Drosophila melanogaster: one gene and its partners. The protein of the gene in region 2 interacts with the protein of the main gene of each other region in a pairwise test. Each region holds a gene or a part of one and is shown on either strand. Other genes may lie near its edges. The genes, in order: Traf-like, CG13124 and mxt.

What was found.
Region 1: the proteins of CG13124 (region 2) and Traf-like interact in a two-hybrid assay, tested with the Drosophila melanogaster proteins (2 studies listed by BioGRID).
Region 3: the proteins of CG13124 (region 2) and mxt interact in a two-hybrid assay, tested with the Drosophila melanogaster proteins (2 studies listed by BioGRID).

The regions. Positions count from the first base shown.
Region 1 is NC_004354.4:16,413,293-16,418,097, reverse strand, and holds Traf-like (TNF-receptor-associated factor-like), read right to left. Parts: upstream 3,053-4,805; 5' UTR 2,675-3,052; coding exon 2,513-2,674; coding exon of another isoform or gene 2,442-2,512; coding exon 2,013-2,441; intron 1,944-2,012; coding exon 1,535-1,943; intron 1,480-1,534; coding exon 1,364-1,479; intron 1,304-1,363; coding exon 995-1,303; 3' UTR 513-994; downstream 1-512. Other genes in the region: AnxB11 (annexin B11), read left to right, coding at 1-17, 74-142, 203-268; CG4301 (uncharacterized protein), read right to left, coding at 3,798-4,011, 4,078-4,404, 4,469-4,805.
Region 2 is NT_033779.5:9,902,876-9,910,342, reverse strand, and holds CG13124 (uncharacterized protein), read left to right. Parts: upstream 1-1,709; 5' UTR 1,710-1,918; exon of another isoform or gene 1,919-2,035; intron 2,036-2,487; 5' UTR 2,488-2,735; intron 2,736-2,795; 5' UTR 2,796-3,292; intron 3,293-3,899; 5' UTR 3,900-4,169; coding exon 4,170-4,310; intron 4,311-4,371; coding exon 4,372-4,468; intron 4,469-5,051; coding exon 5,052-5,205; intron 5,206-5,259; coding exon of another isoform or gene 5,260-5,290; coding exon 5,291-5,516; intron 5,517-5,584; coding exon 5,585-6,061; intron 6,062-6,126; coding exon 6,127-6,339; intron 6,340-6,401; coding exon 6,402-6,626; 3' UTR 6,627-6,964; downstream 6,965-7,467. Other genes in the region: Etl1, read left to right, coding at 1-57, 117-419, 478-1,104; Muc30E (mucin 30E), read left to right, coding at 7,226-7,228, 7,285-7,467.
Region 3 is NT_033779.5:4,842,020-4,848,875, reverse strand, and holds mxt (mextli), read left to right. Parts: upstream 1-1,580; 5' UTR 1,581-1,637; exon of another isoform or gene 1,638-1,712; intron 1,713-2,111; exon of another isoform or gene 2,112-2,160; intron 2,161-2,525; exon of another isoform or gene 2,526-2,597; intron 2,598-2,659; 5' UTR 2,660-2,832; coding exon 2,833-3,234; intron 3,235-3,300; coding exon 3,301-3,622; intron 3,623-3,717; coding exon 3,718-3,789; intron 3,790-4,103; coding exon 4,104-4,164; intron 4,165-4,229; coding exon 4,230-4,707; intron 4,708-4,764; coding exon 4,765-5,158; intron 5,159-5,217; coding exon 5,218-5,816; 3' UTR 5,817-6,292; downstream 6,293-6,856. Other genes in the region: CG11927 (uncharacterized protein), read right to left, coding at 1-1,021. UniProt on the Drosophila melanogaster protein: Plays a role in promoting translation.

The DNA of each region.
Region 1 (4,805 bases), on a different chromosome or scaffold from region 2:
TCATCACGCGCAGCGAGGTAAGTACATCTATATATAATATCATTCAACCCTAAAATGTTGCAACGTTTTTCAGATTGATATGACGGACATTAAGGTAGCGTTCGAACGTCTGTACGGCAAGTCCCTCAAGAGCTGGATCAAGGTAAGATATATATATCTATCTATATCTATATTCTATAATCATATAAAATCCTACTTGCAGGGCGATACTTCGGGCCACTACAAGCACGCCCTTTATGCCCTGGTGGGTGAACAGCGCTCCTCTTAAGAATCTCCGCATATACATATATATGTATTATTCAAACCAAATCCGACGTGAAATCAATTATTCGAATATGTATTATCTCTTCTATGTATTCGTTCATTTAAATGCATACAACATACAAGAACACGCCAACGAAGCCAGACAATTATGATCCACAACGTAGACTATAAGTGCACACAAATAATACCTGAACGGGATCAGACATTTGATACCTCTTTCAAAGAAATGAACATGGGAACCGACAGTTGACAAGTGTTGAAGTTGTATTTTATTAAAAGACCTTTGTATTTAAATGCGTTCGTAAAGACAAATAATATGGAAGTTCCTCTCAAAAATCGCTTGTTAATTTGCTCGAAATGAAAAACCAAAAAATGAAAGAGTTGCTTATATCTTGACAAAGTGACCAGGGAAATGTTGCAATAAAAGCTATGCTTTCTAACTACCGACTTCGTCTCGACAGTGCCTCAATGTGACTATTGCCTAATTTGAAAAAAAGCATTTAAAACTGCAATGACATTTAAAACTACAATATACGCATATTGAAACGATGAATCGATTCGTATGCACTTATACACTATATATGTACACATACTCGTGTTTGTAAGCGGGTTTTTAACTTCCAGTTCGCTCTCAATGGAATAAATTATGTTTTATGTATGTGACAATCCGCAATTGGATTTTTTTTTTCTTATCGCTCCTGGTGGGTGGGATAGCGATGCTGCATGGGTTTTATTTTAGAACTCGAACCTCGATGAACATGGAATCGTTGCGAAGATAGTTGCGACTGGTGATTACCTTGTGTGGTATATGGAAGTACTGGTTGCTTTGGATAAAATCATCGCTCTTCTTGCGCACAAAGATGGTCTTCACATAATCCTCGGCATCTGCCACATTCGTGCACTGATCCCGGATGATGATCTCGGCCTGAAGGCGGCATGGCCAGGCCAGAAGGGGATCGTACTCTCCGGATAGAACGTTCAAGCAGGCGATCATGTTCCTGCCCTTCCAGGTGCCCTTGCCATTCAAGTATATATCCAGCTAGTAATGGGGTATACATATATAAATGGCATATCCAACCAAGATCCAACCTCAACTCACCCGTAGAGCATAGCCAAAGGCTTTATTGGAGAACATGGCGCTATGGAGGATGGTGTCGTACTGCTTGGACTCTTCCAGTTTTTTCGAGTAATCCTTGATGCGCCAAATCAAGTGTCCTGTACGACCAGATATTATATATTTAAATTACTATATTGAACCAACAATATGTACCCCTTATATTCTGGACACTGGCAATCCGCTGCTGCATGGCCATTTGGGTCTCCAAATCCGATATATTCTGCATGGTCTGGTGAAGTGCTCGATCCAATTTATCGCAACGTTCCTCCGTTTCGCACACAATGTTCTTCACATTCTTCACCTCATAGTCCAATGTGGCCTGCTTTGACGTCACATAGTCACTGTTGCCCAGCTTTGTTTTGATGTCCTCATTGATCTGCTGCAGAAACTCCTCGATCTGAAAGAACTTCTCCCTGTTGAGCCGCTCGTTCTCAAAGATCAGCTCCTCCAGCTTTAGGATATTGTCGTTTAGCTGATTCTGGTGATAGGTCACGTCCGCCGAGAGCTGATTGACCAGCTTTTGGGCCTCATCCAGCCTGGACTCCACTTGCTCTTTCAAGGACTTCGACGGAGATATGCACATTAAAGATAGATAGTATATATATATTTAAATAAAGTAGCATTAACTAACCTGTGTGATATCACAGCAGTACTGGACATCCAGCTGGTTCTGTTCGATGGCGAATGCCTTCCGATTGGTTTCCTCCTCCATCTGGCGACGCAGATCGTCCATTGCCTTCTCGGTTTCGCGGGTCCAGTCCTCGACGACCTGGTTCTGCTTCCGTATGTTGCCCACATCGGTAATGAGATGCAAACGCTGTCGTATCTCCTCGTTGAGAACGGACCGAATGGTGCCCACGTCCTGTTCAATGACCAGGAGACGCTGATCCGACTGCCTATCCAGGCGATCCATGCTGACACTCATGCGTTGCTGATTGCTCAGATTGTGCTGGTTGCGTGGACACTCCTTCAGATGGGATCGCATACGGATGCGTGGAATGAAGGCCTGACAGCCGTTGGGACACTCCTCCAGCACCTGGCCGCAGTGGATCAGGTGTTCCTGCAGTCGCATCCAAAGAGGAGTAATGTAATAGTAATCAAAGGTGAACTGAAAAGTTGGACGATTATAACCGTGAATGTCTGGGCATCGAACCATTCGTTGCAGAAGAGGCACGACGACTTCTCATACTTGACTATGGTCGTCGATTTGGGCTGATTCTGATTCTCATTCTGATTCTGATACTGATTCTGCTCGGTTAGATCCTTTCTCGACGACGACTTGGTCAGTGACATTATATTGATTAAAGGAAAGCAAATTCGATTGAAACTTTGGATCAGCAAATTCTCTGGCGCTGCGAGCACCGCCCTATGCACACTAAACTCAGCCAAAAATGATTAAGAATTTCCTTGGGCATAGTCATACGCGGCGCACACAGACATGGTTTAGATATAGCTTTGCACATGTGTTAGCATTAGGGCGTCCATGGGAATCTATACGACAACCTCGAACTGATAGCACTGCCATTTGGTGCGATTACCACTATTTCGAAATGCGAGAGCAACCAACGAATCGTATTGACCACTAACTTGGCGAACTACGACCAGGAAAACACAGCCACCGAGAATCCACTAAAATCGTAACCGTCACCAGATCTTCCAGCGACTATATGGCCACATATGTACCTGCAAAATGTTCATATCTCTAGCTCCCCTTGTACAAACATATTCGGAATGCGAGTGGAGATAACATTATCAATGAAAAACGGGCTTCACAATCAAAACTTTGTCCATTGCCTCGGCAATGCAAATGGTAACGACGCCATCAACTAGATAACAATGTGGTGGGCGGCAGTGATCGTGGGCGTGGCAGTGGGTATGGCCGAACCAACAGGTGCCCTACGTACACATATGTGGATCGGGATTGAAGTACATTTACTGACTCGCCGCCCTACTTTATGGTATCAAAAGTGGGGCAACGGCTAAACTGTGATAAAAACGGGCTATATACTTTCGTATATATTTTTAAACAATATCCGATGTAGGAAAAATATTAAATAAATCCTTTATTAATTAGATGTTTGTATCGTGTAGCTGTATTGAAACCCAGCATTTTCGTAAACGAACCATTTTTCCAAGTGTAGTTGCACTTGCTCTCAATAAGTCGCCGAGATTATGATAAAAATGTTATCAGCCTAAAATGTCGTACTTCCCAGTTGATTGCGAGTGTTAGCATACGATTTCAAGGTTCTCCATTTGGGAAGTTGAGATACTTTCCTACCTCTAAGGTGGTGGTCAGAAATCAAATCTATTGTTCAAACGTTTAACAAAAATTTGTTTATCTAACAAAAAAAAAAAAAATTGTATACATGAGGAAATAAATAAATTAGGGGTATAAAAACTATAGCCTAATCGACGATTACAAGTATGTGGACTCAAACTTCTCGCGCATCTTAAGTTTCCGTTGTTTTCCGGGAAAAATGCTGAAACTCTTTATGTTGAGCGCCCTCTGGAGCATTCGGATGGTATAGTCGGGTACCAGGCAGGCCACACAGGTCACTATGATCCACAGCCAGACTGGCAGTGAGGCCAACAGATTGTTGTAGGCCCAGTAGATGTCGGTGTCGTAGTCCCTGCAAATAATACATATACATATTAGTTTAAACCTTAAATGGATACATTCGTAGCCATGAACTCACAGATTGATAACGTTGTAGATAACCGTTGTGACTACAAAGCCCAAAATGGAAATGATAATGGTGAATATATACCAAAAGGACAGATACATTGACTCGAGCCAGAGCTTAAGGTTCACGACCACCACCACCGTCCACATGAGGAGGGTGCCGAAGCAGGAGAAGGCCACCGTCTGTCCGTAGTTCAGGAGAACGTTGTTGTAGTAGAAGAAGCAGAAGGCGAAGTAGAATATGATGACACTGTGGTAGATCGCAAATAGGACCCACATCAGGAAGTACGGCCAGTGGAGCTGCTTGTTGTCCGTGTTCTTCTTGTAAAGCTGTGGCGTTCTGTTCAAGTTGCATTTTTAGTAACATCAACATTATACATATAAACGATTGAACCCACTGTTACCTCATCAACTTCTCCTCGGTGTATGGCTTCTCGGAGATAGCTATGAACAAAATGGGCAGCGAGGTGTATATCACATTGTACAAGGTAAGGAATAGCGAATCGTAGACGGAGGATGAGGAGAACAGCGTGTGAAACTGGAACAGGAACATGATGCCCATAAAGACGATGTTCTTGTAGAAGAAGTACAGCACCAGCAGGGACAGTCGGACACTGTGATAGTGTCCATGGACGAGAAGCAATCTCTTGAGCATGCAAAACTTGGCGAAGGCAAAATCGGCGCATCGTGCCGCCTGCCTGCCCTCGCGTCCCATGATGCCGATGCCCACGTGAGCCTCCT
Region 2 (7,467 bases):
CTCAGACGGCTTAAGAAAGATGTCCTTAAGAACCTGCCCAAGAAGCTAAGCCTGGTGGTAAGTACGTCGGGCGAAAATAAATATTATACAATAATTAAATTGTTTTTTATTTAAAGGAAAAAGTGCCCATGAGCAGTCAACAGAAAATATACTATCACGAGCTGGTCGATTATTATTCCAATAACAAGGGCGAGGTGTGCAGCAGCAGCGAAAGGGCCGGCATAGCGATCATGATGGAGATGCGCCGCATTGCAAACCATCCGTTGCTGATGCGTCACTACTTCACCGACGCCAATCTACGTGGATTCTCTAAGCGCCTGGCTAATGCCAGTTCCTTTAAAAAGACCAACGAGCAATACATCTTTGAAGAGCTAGCCGTTATGTCAGACTTTCAGGTCTATCAGATGATGAACAAGCATGTAAGTGACTATCAAAGAGGTTGTCCAATGACAATGACTAAATTTGTGCATCTTTCAGGAGTTTTACGACGTGAAAATACCCGATAATTTGATATGCGATTCTGGAAAATTCCTCTACCTGGATACGTTGCTTCCAAAACTGAAGGCAGAAGGACACCGTGTGTTGCTTTTCAGCCAGTTCACCATGATGCTGGACATTGTGGAGGAGTATCTGCGAATACGAAAGTTTGGTTTCTGTCGCCTGGACGGGGCGACCGCCGTAAATGTCCGCCAGGATTTGATCACCGACTTCAATGGGGACGATAGCATCTTTGTGTTCCTACTCTCCACCAAAGCCGGTGGCGTTGGCATCAACCTGACGGCTGCCGACACCTGTGTCATTCACGATATCGACTTCAACCCGTACAACGATAAACAGGCCGAGGATCGGTGTCATCGCATGGGACAGCAGCGTCCGGTGACCATTTACCGTCTCATTTCCGAGAGTACCATCGAGGAGGGCATCCTGATGGCCGCCGAAGAGAAGCTAAAACTAGAAAAGGACATTACTTCCAACGAGAAGGGCGAGGTGCACGAGCAGCGATGTGTGGTCAAGCTGTTGACCACAGCCCTTGGCTTGGACAAGGATCAGGAGGAGCAGCTAAACAATTCACTAAACAACTCCATAGCCTCGCCCGCCAAATAGGCATTCTCGTTGTCCTCGTTCTCGTCCTTGTCCCCACCTCCGTATTTATTCTGCGCGAGCATTTGATCAACTTGGTCTAATCGTCCTACCGCTGTCAAATCCTGTTAACATCGTTTGAATTATTCTAACAATATTGTATTTGTATATTTTTTAAACTTGTATGCAAGGAGAGATTTGGTGTATGGTATGCCAAAAGTGGATCATAAATCGAGTTAGTAATTTTTCACCGTTGAGGCGACATTAGTTTTTCTTCATTAGTAACAGCAACATTTCCACGATAAACCAAGGCAGACAAGTTAATATTCTTGTTTTATTGATTTGTCATCATGATTAGTTTTCATTTCTGTAATTTCTGTTTATGTATCGAATTGAAACTATTGTTATAAGGATAAAGATCATTTTGTGTACGAATGCGATCATGTTCATTTATTTCTACATATTTGCTCTATAGTTCGAGCCGCTCGACAACCCTAAACGGATCGCTCTCGCATTTTCCCACGAGATTCTTTTGGTTGTGTGGTGCAAAGAGAAGCGGAGAATCGCTTTCCAGAGAGCACAACTGTAATGAAGAGCTTTCGGCTGGCGCGGCGATTCATCAAGTCTTTAGTCTTCAACTGATCGCTCGCGCCGATGATTTAATTTTTAAGTTAAAGCCTGCGCCCAGTGTAGCAGCCGGCAGCGTTACTCACATCCATATACATACATACGTGCGAATATACATACATGCTCACATAATACGGCGTACATCGATAAATAGATATACCCCGCAGATATAGTGTCTCGATCGACAGCAACGAACCCATGGAAACCTAAAGTAAAACCAAAATTCCAAGGTTCCATTGTCCCGTAGTTAAATGTGTTTAAATCCAATTACATCCCCGATCCTTTATATTTTGCTCTTACGAATCGGGATTATGTGATTCATGCATAAGTACATACGTTTCCTCCCCGAATACTTTCTTGAATTCTATTTAAAAATAGACAAACTGTTTGCGAGCGGAAATCATATTGTGCCGCGGCGGCGACTAAAACGCTAAATAAATCGGGCCAATAATTTGAAATAGTCTGTTCTTTTTTTTATTTTGTCTTTCTGCCAGCCCGCTGATATTATTGTTTTTGACCAACGGAAACGGAAGCAACGCCAACTGCATATAGGTTTATAGATGTATCTACATAGTGCTGCGATACAGTCATCATTCGCAGCGCTGTCATATACTATAAATATAGATGCGGCGGCACATGTGAGCAGTTTTTGGCAATTGCCAAAGAATACGGCGCACAAGTCGGGTGAAAACAAACAGCGCGTGCAGGCTAAACATGAAGAGTAGTATAGGAAAATATAAATAACAATTAATAATCCCCTCATTTTGGCCGCGCCTGTATGCGTGTAGTGACCGCTTGTATGTGTACGTGTGAGAGTAATCCGAACAATAACTATATTATATACATAAATAGCGAGCGATCTGCATTAAATGAGAGAAAAATCACAATAAAAAGAAAAACGAACGAACACAACAACGCGAACAAAAATTAAGAAACCAAAACGGAATCGGTAATAATTGACGACGAGCAGACAACGAGCCGAGAACAAGCAGCACAAAGCGACAAACCAAAAATAGACGATACCAACGGTGCGTATACTTAACGAGCCACCCGCTCATATCACTCATCTCGCCCTCTCGCTCGCACAGCAGCCACCAGTCATCCGAGCAAAAGCAACAACAATAGGCACTAAAATCAATTGTGATCACAGTGCGTTTGTGTGAGTGCGTATGCGTATGCGTATCTGTGCCTTTTTTTGCATTTGCCGCTGTATCTGCCTGCATCTGTATCTGTGTCTAGAGGCCCGCAATCCATAACCATCTAGTGTATTACCCCATATGCGGACTATTTGGGCGTGGAGGGACGCTTCGAAATATTAATTATTTCTGACACTGTTTACGGCTTGACTTGGCGCATGCCAAGCATGATTAAACGAGACACGAAAGAGCGTATCTACGAAGTAGATAAATATCTTTATACGAACAACTAAGCTGCGGCACCAAGCAACAATCGAATCGACGAATAGCAACAACGCACAAACAAACCCATCTATATATACACTATAGACAGAGATAAACAAAAGCTCAAGCAGCAACAGCAGCAGCAACAACGAAACAATTTGAAGGAAATATTTTTGCACTAAAAGGTGAGTATATCCGTCCATCCGACGCTGATTCATAATACCAGCCTAGCTTATTCCGAGCACTCTGTTTGGCAATCTGAGAATGGGAAGTGTAGAGCAATTAGCGAGGCAAGTTCACATTGCTATGATAGTAGTCACTCTCACAGGGCAGTTAACCTATGTAAGATTCTCTAAGTTCGTTAATTACCACATTTTGACAAGTTCATTGTTTTATTGATATAAGTGGATGGTACATATAAGTAAGAAGAGTCAAAGATTTATTCAAGCCACATTTTGTGATAATAGATGGTAGAGAGGCCTGACTGTACAATGTATCTTTCGTATGTATCTTTCGCGGAGACTCACTTCGGACTTCTTGTGGGCCGCAGAATAAGAATTACTCGGGGGCTGATGTCATGTTCGGAGATGAAGTGCTCTAGCCAGAGGTTCCAAACCAGATGCAACTCCTACGCTCGGCCATAAAGCCGGTTGGTTGCTCGACAAGATCAAGTAGTTTGCGCCTCCCTCTCGCATGTGGGTTAAAGAGTTTTTGTGTATCTTACTTGATATATGTTGACAATAATATAATGCGATATGCTGAAGTATATAATTAATTTTCATTGTATTCCAGACCCGGCAATCTGAATCTGCAAAAGGGGAAGATATCCCTCAACATCGTATTAAGAAGAGAACTCAACTCGATAAAGGAGGAAAGGAAACCAACTATTGTGATATGTACAAATTTACTCAAATACTGAAGCCACACATTTAGACGTTTATTCGACGGAATCCCAGTTGTGAATCGATTAACCGGAGGATAATCTACCAAAGATTAGGCTTTCATCTTCAATTAGGTTTTACCCAAATAGAGCAGAAGCAGTACTCGCGCAAAAATCGCAGGATGGCCGAAAAGGTGGAACTACTGGCCCAGGCCAGCATGAATGGCCAACAGAATGATACGCGGAAGGTGCGCAAATCACCGGAATTTCAGCCCGGCGTTATCTCCCGCGAACGCAGCTTTGTGCGCACCTCAAATCAACAGGTGGGTACACCATATCGATGTCGATTAGCAGCCATATTTATATAATTGTTTGTTCATTCAGAATATCAACAAACGGCGAAGTCTGGCTTTCAACGTACCTGGCAATCAGACGGGACAGATGAGGGGCAAACCAGCCATGGATATCTACAGGCCTCCCAGTGAGTTGTTTTAGTCATTCGTTATAAATTCTCTAATTCGCTTGGGTGCTTGGCAGGGTGCTCGGTGCTAAAGAAGTTAAAGAACTCAATATAATAGAGAATTTTTATATTTCGAGGATATTTAATCGGTATTATTTTAGTGGTGGCTTAGAAATACAAACACATCAAGTGTAGATATATGCATTTGGACGAGAAAGGTACTGAATAATCAAAAACATACATGTACATATAACGATATTTATTATAGGCATATTTTATAGGGACTATTTCCGTTTTTTTTCCAGCTTAGTCCTTAAAAAGTGAGATTGAGCATATTTAAAAATGTAAATATTAAATGTCAATAGTCACATATGTACTTCAGCCAGCCCAGCTTAAGATGCTCTATTCTTTGCTGCCAGCTTATCAGTTCCAATTAATACTTACTGAGACCACATTTTTCTTTTGATTCTTTTCATATCTCTGTCTCATACCCTGTACATTCCGTCCCTCCACACAATGTTGTCCTACCCCCCAACATCATCACATACACTCTTGGGTATACCGACCCTTCCCCAACAATAATCCCCACTTGACTCTGTCTCAGATGTGCGCGGAGAGCTAGCCGCTCCAGCCGGTGGTGTCGGTGGTGATGGTCCGAATGGTGCTATCGGTGGTGTCGCCAACAAGCTGAACGTCAATGCCCAGGAGTTCACAATGACAACCAGCTCCGGGGCACCGGCCGAGGCACTCGGCAACCGGTAATGCAAAGTCTTTTAATTCCATTGTTTACCCCTCTTCCCGTCTCCTTGCAGAGCTAAACTACAGTCTACAACATTCTTCCAGTTCGTCGCTAATACTTCCGCTCACCAATGGACCCGGAGTGGGAGTTGCACCGGGTTTGGGTCCGTACGGAAACGTGAATCGCCGCCAGGCCGGACACTCCCTCGGCAACATGCCGGGCTTGAAGGCCAACCACCGGTCGATCCTGGTGACGTATCCAATCAATACCGGTGCCCTCAGCGGTCAGCTGCCGCTAATGAACTCGCCATCCAGTGGAAATATACTTCACGTGAGCTCTAATTTAAAAATATTGGTAAAAAAAAACAATATTTCAATAAATAAACACCTAAATTCCAGACAACAAATCGTGTAAAGTTTGCACCTGAGCCCCGAGGTCACAAAGTGGCTTCGCATAATCAGTTTGGTCAACTAAACAACAACTATGCTCAGCCTTATCAGGCGAATATTAATGGAGTAGATCCTTACATGAATGGAAATGCACTGCAACGCTCCAAGTCGTTGTCGTCGGCGGATGCCCTTACTCGTGGAATGGCCGGATTGGGACTAGGTTTGGGCAACGAGGTGGCCGACATAGGACAGTTCACGCCAGAGATCCAGGCGCTTATTGACACGGCCCTGGAGGATCCCAATAAACTGAACTCTCGCTGTCTCATGGAACTGACATCGCAGTTCATCAAACGCGCGGTGGAGAGTCGCCGTTTTGCTCTGCCAATATCACGACTGTGTCTGAACATCATTGCCCGGGAGCAGAAGGAAACGTTTCTCGAGGCGCTCCTCAACACATGCCGTCAGTGGTACCAGGAGCGTGAGAAGGTAGGCAATTCAGCATAAATTTCCATGATCATTTCATATTTAAAAATCTTTTACCCCGCATGCAGCTGTTGTTTGCCATCCAGGGCATGAAGTCGCCATCACGTGTCCGATTCACTGCCTTTATGGCCTTCCTTACGGAAATGTTTTGTCAGCTGAAACGTCGGCAGCTCCAGCTACGCACCCACCACGAGGGCACTCCTCCGCCACTGGTACTGCTTAGTCTGCTCTCCAAATGTTGCGGGGATTGCGTGCGTCCACCCATTAGATCACTTTCAGAGGTACGTTTTTGATTGATCAAGTGGTTGGAATAATACATGTGATTACTATTCATAACTTTCAGATTGAGTGCTTGTTTTATGTTTTGACCTGTATTGGCCAGGACATGGAGCAGCAGTTGCCCCAGCAACTGGAGTTACTCATGAGTCTGGTTCGCGATGCCTTTTTGAATGCCGGCGAATCTGCGGCCTCCATTCGGCGCACTCTTCTCCAACTCATCGAGCTGAAGGCCTCCCACTGGCAGCTACCAGGCAATACGGTTCTTTACTACACGCACACTAACAATTAGGAACGAGATCTGGAGCTGGGGACATGGCGGGGATAAGGGCACTGTGCAAGCATCAGGACACCATGAGCAATTGATTCTGTTGTCGCATTGCATTTAGGGCCTGGAAAACTTCTGTTCTATTTATCTTATTGTATTCTTACCTAGACATAAGCAATATTTATTTCGGCAGCAGCTATAGAGAGAAACTAACCCGAGACTTGCACACTACACACCAAGCACAGTACCAAATAAGATCGAACTCTTGGATTCGATATCTTTGGACTGTGCTATAATCTAAGGCTCAACATTTATGTGAATCCATATATTTATGTGTAATAAATCACAGCTAGTCAAACGAGGGTGCAAGTTTATTTTATGCGGGGCACTGCATTATTGGTCATCACAAACAAAAAGACAATAAAACAGTATGCTTCAAATGCATACAAATTTTAAAAACTTATCTTTTTGGTTTTGTAATAATGACTCGCGCTTACCTGTTGAACTTTGTTGAACTACGACCCTGGACGACCTTATCAGCGGCCTGCTATGCCATTTATTCTGCTCCCTATTTAAGCACCAACTAAGGCTCAAAAATCCAGAGTCTTGCTCGACAAGTTGCAATGGTAAGTCGAACATAAGATTAGTAGTTACCTCATACCAATATTGTCCTTAACTATAGGTCGTTCTAAGTTGTTTTATTTGGCTTGCCCTTTATCACTCTGCAAATGCAGCGCTGGAGGGCAGTGAAATTAAGTTTGGGGACGAATCAACTACAGAATCGGCTGAAAAATATCCTGATTACTGCTGGATAAATCCTTTTCTCCCGGGCTGTCCATTTGGTCCGGGTGATGGCAATAATTCG
Region 3 (6,856 bases), 5.1 Mb from region 2:
CGCGCGGCAGCTTCCCCAAACGCTGCACCGTTCGCTTCCAGTTGTGGAACTCACGGTTTTTAAAGGGCTTCATGGCCATACGGTACTCCTTCCACTGGCGCTGGCGCTCCTCCTTCGTACCAGGCGGTGCATCCTCGAGCGGCGGTGGTGCCTCTGGCTTCTGTATCCATTGGCCATTGACCTGGACAAATGTGCCGCAGCGCTTGGGCTTCTTGGAGGGCTGCGCTTCCCCGTTTGACGGCGAATTGTTGCCATTGCTTGGCGGTGGGGGCGGAGGCATAAGCCTCGTATCTTTGTCACTGTTGCCGCGATGGTTTACCTTGAATTTCTTGTTATTCTGGTTTGGATTGCTGCGATTGTTTTGTGCTCCCTGCTCCTTGGGTACCAGATTCCACAAGCTGGGGCACTTGGGCATGGGCGGTTGGATTGGTGGTGGTCTATGTTGTGGCGACATCATGTCCTCCCAGAACGGAGGCGGCTGCAGAGGTCGGTGATTGTGATTCCGGCGGGGCCCAGAACCACGTGGTCCTCCAAAGCCCACTGGACCACCGGGGCCCATACTGCTCATGGGACCACAGGGACCCATATTGCTTATGGGACCGCGAGGTCCTCCTGGTCCCATTGGCCCCATGGGGGGACCGCATTGTCCGGGTCCAGGCCCAAAATTGCCTCCAAAGCCCATGTTCATCAGCTGCATAGGAAGTGGAGGCGGTCGATTCATCGGAGGATAGTTCCTGTCCTGGTAGCTTTGCGGACCTCCGCCTCCATGAAAGGCATTGTTGCTATTCGAAGACCAATGTTTACGTCCGTTGCCGTTGTTGTTATTGTTGTTGTTGTTACTATTGTTATTGTTGCTCCGTTGTAGTCCGCTTTTGGTATCCGGTTTCAGTGCATCCTTGCATTTCTTCCAATCTGCAAACGACATTTTCAGCGGCTTAGTTTCAGGCTCATCTTTGCCGGACTCCGGAACGACTTCCTTGGAATCCTCTGGTGCCGCCTCCACGTCCCCGTTTTCAGACATCTCGCACCTTAGAGAGTGGGAATACACTTTATAAATATATCAACTTAATTTTATTTGAGTTTTGCTTAGCGATGGCAAACAAAAATTTCAATAACAACAAATTGAAGGAACAGCCGATGTTTTCTATCGATATTTTCGTGCTTAAAATTTTAGGGAGTTTCCCCTGAAGTATTTTCTTAAGAGTCCTGTTGTTCTTAAAAAAGAACAGTAGTTTCCAAATGTATTCTCTAAACTTTCCGCTATACCAGTAAATCTTCATTTGTTAACTAGTAAGCGATATATTAATGCCCAACGTAATATAATATATATTTAACATTTTCGATCCCATGCAGACACAACCGGCGGGGAATAGTAATTGCCCAGCGTCCAGATACCATAGTGAATTGTTGGTTATCAGCGATAAGTGTCTGATTTCGTAACATTTATTTCATATTTAAATTTAAATTTTAATACGAACACATCTGTGATGCGAAATTGATGTGAGCTTTTTGACTGCGCTTTACGTGAACTGGTCTGGATAGCTGTGGCGCATCTCTAAAATCTAACGTGTTCGATCAGGTGGCAACACCCACCGTAAAAAACGATTTTAGTCGCAGTCGCAGAGATTTTGGTTTTGGTAAGCTCTAGTAATTTATTGGAAATTACGATCCAAAATACACCGTTTTAAGAGACGTTTCAATCGGCCATTAAAGTAAATAATAAGCGCGACGAAGACTAAACATCAAAAGTGTTGAAACTAGAACGAGAGTGCAAAGTCGGTCGCCAGCAAAACGCGTAGTTTGCTTATTTTAACGAAAAGCGGCCAGTGCCATTAAAATATTACTCAATTTCACAGAGAATTTTGGCCGAAAACGGATGCAATATATGGATATATAGACCCTGTTTCCTGAAAGTTAACTTCCTTTTTGTTCTACGCCCAACACGGTCGTCAACTGCGCTGCCATCGTCGACGTCGGCAGAGGCCATTCTTGTTGTTGCTATTCTCGACATATGATTCAATAGAGCGATCGCCTCTCTCTTTCTCCCTCCCACGGACAATTTCAGTTTTTTGTAATATTTCTGTTAGCTGTGTTTTAGTTGCCCATGTTTGTTTGTTCTTGTTGTTGTTGCTGCTGCTGCTGTTGCTGCAGCGGCAGTAAGTGATATTTAAAAAAGAAATGAGTTGTTCGCATGGAGCGAAAGTCGAACTGAAATAACACAAATGGTCGTCCGTTTGTCGTTCCCATTCGATATATGCCAACAATTTTCATCAATTATTTACATATTTTGCTTTTGGAACTTCGCACCGATTAACTGAGCAGAAGCCAGAAGCTCAGAAGGCGCCAATGGGTTAATTTGGCCACTAAACTATAGATAAATCGCGGTGTTATCAGCTAAAGCCGCTTATCAAACGTGCACATCGTTAAGATATACGAGAGCTTTGCGTCGCAATATTCGAGATTCGGTCGGAAACGAGGCCAATCTCCATATCCTAAGAAACCTTTTGGTTGTCCATGCTCTCGGCCATTACTCCCAAGTTCTAATGCAATATAGTCGGCTTTGATCATCCTAGCAGCTGAAAGCATGTATCCAAATAGTACAATAGTTTTAATGTAAACAATACATTTGATCGATAACTAACCTTTCTTGTGTTTACAGGGGGAGGTGCGGAAACAGCTTCTACGATTCATTTTTGATCAATTCTTCAACAACATTTAAACGAACGAATAAGTTAGCAGACCATATAGACTGAAATCAGCAGATCCGGACACCAGGCGGGACAACCTTAAGACTTCTTCACGAGACGATATCGAATCCAACGAATCCCGAGAATGGCTCACACACACCTGGGACGCGCCGTGAAAAACATTGAGGCGCCACGCCCGTTGAAGACACAATCGCGATCGTCGTTGAAGAACAGCTACCTGGTGATCGAGGAGCTAATCCAGTTGATAGACAACGTGACCGTCGGTCTTCAGTCGTGCAACACCACGCCGGAATCGATCACGCTGCTCCTGCACAACCTCCGGGTGCATGGACCGCAACTGGAGGCGGTGTCCAAGGATACACTGGACCGGGCCTTCGTCGTTTTCCGCAACGCTTCGCAGGACGAACGGCTGAATATAACGACGCGCCTCAAGCTGCTCGAACTCATCGAGCTGCGCGCCAAGAGCTGGGACAATGACGACACAATCGCGTACTACAAGTCCAAGCAGCAGATCTCCAACGTGGAGGTGAGTAGAGTACATAGAATCGATCTCACTTTGGAAAACGATCAAATATGTATCGTTGCTTTGCAGCTGCCTTCGGAATACCAGTACGATGCCGGCGTGCAGCCTGGCGCCTTCAGCACCTCCCCCACATTCGGCGTCAGCGGCGGTGTTGGTGGCGTTAACGATGGAGCCGCAGCCGCCGCTGCCGCCGTCTTCAATGCAGCATCTGCAGCTGCAGCCGCCCAAGCTGCGGCCATTGCGGCCGTGGGCACATCCAACCAGCAGCACATGCTGCTGCCGCCCGGTGAGGTCATTCGTAATTCGGGCAAGTTCCCCAAACCGACCAAGATTCCTGGCAAGACGTACTGCAAGGACGAGGTCGTGATTCGCAATGCTGACTCCGGCAAAGGTAAGTTTTTCAATCAGCTGAGGAGTGTTCTGGAGCACACAGATCTACAGAAATGGTTTTCAATAATGTATTCCTCCATTCCCGTGGCCAAAAAGTAATGGGCATCAAGGGGCGTCGCGTGCACATGATCGAGGAGCTAAGCGAAACCATTATATCGTTTCAAAGAGGTAACTCCAGAGAGCTGGTTTTAATTGTGATCCTCACCGCACCCCCATTTCATTTGGCACGCTTATTTAAATCAATTAATGCCCGGTGGCTTCTACAAAATTTACTAATAGAAATTATAAATACGCATGTTCCAGATTTTGTCCATTCAACGACACCACATTAAGCCAAAATTGATCGTTAAAGGCATTTTGAAATCACATATTTTCATACTGTATATATGCATTTTGTTTTTAAATGTTTTCGCATCCCAATTATTTTTCATAAATATAAATGCTTTTTTCGAGAACAATTATGAATGCCTTGTTTTCATTAGTCAACCCGGGTGCCAAGGAGCGTTTGGTGCAGATTACTGGTCCAGCTGAGGATAAAATTAAGTGAGTAAAGTAAATAAATTAAAGCTAATTTACCTTTATGTCAAAATGTTTTAATTCTACGACAGCTATGCCAAACAACTTATGGAGGACACCATTCGTCGGAACGCCTCGCCGGTGCGCCTGGAACCCGCTCCTGCCGTTGGAGGATCCTGCTCCTCGCTTAACTCGTCCAACTCGGACGACGCCATTGTGCAACCAAGAACGCCAACCGGAAGCAGTTTGGCCAACCGGCTAAGCTTTAACTCGGCCCAAAACTTCATGACCGCCACAGCTGCTGCACAGCAGATCTCGCAGCAGATGCACCACCAAACGCATCACCTGCAGCACCAACAGCAGCAGCAGGTCGCCGCAGTAGCCGCCGCAGCAGCAGCGGCGGCACATGCTCAGGCGACAGCCGCTGCCGGTAAAGTCTTGCGTCCCAATCAACAGCTGCTAATGCACTCATATTCCACAAACGATGCTTCCGTAGGTGAATACAAGTTCACGGTCAACGTGGGCCAGCACCTGATCAAGATCACCGGCGACTGCTGCGAACTAGTGCGCGTGAGTAATGTTGAAGTTTTCAATTGTGAAATTTGTTAAATCCCCTGCGATTTCAAGGTGGCCAAACTCGTGCTCGATGACTATTTTAGCAGCTCGGAGTTTCTGGCATCCATTGAGGCTGGCGCCGCCTTCGACGGCACTTCGCTGGTGACCACGCCATCGACTCCGCTTCCCGGAGCCGGGCCGCCGCAATTTTGGCTGCCCGGCACGGACAGTGGCATTGGACTGAATTGCGTTGTTTCCTCGTCAGCGAACAACAATGGTGAAGGCGACGACGAGGTGTTCGCTGAGCCCAGCAATGGAGGATCATCGACTAGCAATCAGAATGGACTGGCCAGATCGCGTCGCAGCCACTTTTCGCGCAAGGAGTCCACGCCGGAGACCAAGGGCGCTCGGGAAAAGGGTGACTTGGACGATTTGGCAGGCACCAATTCCTTGAAAAGCAATGCATGTAAGATTACAATCCTTTTATGCTTAACCAAGTCTTTGATGCTTAAACTTAAATTACAGCTCGCGTTTCTTACGATATTGAACACTTGCTCTACTACTCCATGAGTCCGCACTCGTGGACCCTGCCCACCGACTGGCAAAAGATGCAGGAGACAGCGCCCTCGATTCTGCGCAACAAGGTAATTTCGCCGTTCGATGGCTCACTTGGCCGTACGGCTTACTCTTCGAACATCCCCGATGCTATCATCGCCAGTGCACCTAACTCATCAGTAATAACACATCCGTGGGCTTTAAATGCAATAACCTCCTCCCCGAACACAAATATCATCAGCACCGCCGTTGGACTAGCTGCTGTCGATGCGTCGGCAGACAACAATCCCCTAACCGTCACTAACAAGCAATCAAAAGGGATCTTCGCCGAACGCGAGAACCGTCGCCTTCCCAAAACATCGGCCGTGTCCGATCGAAACCTGTATAACAAGCAATTGCAAATCATAACTAATACTGTGGGTCAATCGGTGGCAACACAAGGAAAGCATCGCCAGTCTAGCTATCAAACATCACAAGTGAAGGCAATTTTTCAACGCTACTGCGAGGACGATGAGTTTTCATTGGCACTGTGCGAAACAGAATCGAATAATAACCGCGTTTATGTGTAATTTCATTTAATTTCATTTAATTTAATTTAATTTTACGTAGCCGGAATACGTATTATTGAATCTCAGTCACAGATAGGCTTTTCTTTTCATGTCAGTATTTTTGCTGTTTTAATTTTATATAACTTATCATTAAGAAAAGGTGAAGCGTGAAGAACTTGATAATGAATCAAGTCAATACATCATTATCATTATCATCATCCAGTCATTAGATTAACGACATACCATCGAAACCAAACCGATCGCTAGTCTTAGAGGTAACAATACATATAATGCATTGAAATTAAAATGTAACTATAGGGAGAATCTGTGTTTTGGCTGTGAAACAGATTAAGTCGTCGCTAAGGATAAGCTGGAAAGGCGGTTGAAACCGCTTAACCGCTAACAAACAAACATTCTCGAATTCAAACCAACATTTACAAATCTGTAATCAATACGATTTATATTAACTAATAAACAGGACTTTCAAAGTCCGTAACAAAGCTTGGCTGGGTTTAACTTACACCACCACACACCCCACACATTGTAAATTATAAATTGTAACTTGTGTTTTACCACCGAAGCATCATAACATCACCACCTAACCACCACTCCAGATGGCTAACTTAGTTACTAAACTGTTCCGTATGTATATATGTTCGTTCATCCCTGGATAGCTTGCGTGTCAATGTTACTTTGAAATCAGATATTAAACCATTTCTTTGTTCGACAACAGGATCTGCAGGATGAGAGCCAGCGCTTCGATGGTGATAAGTATCTGGCCAGCATTAAGACGGCCGCCAAGCGAGACATTGTGGCTGCCGATGAGGTCGAGACTCTGGACGAATAAAGCCATCAATCGAGCGGCTCGAACTGACAATATAGAGTGTCCCGGGGTGAAGTGCCTGCTCCCAGACGGAGCTGCAGTATGCTTCAATGCTTTTGGCCATGGCCACATCTAACAATCGCAAACTCAAAACGACCAAAACAAAACAAACAAAAAAAAAAGAATATTGAAAAATATGCAAACTAACCCTAGAAATTACCAACGAAATAATCAAAAA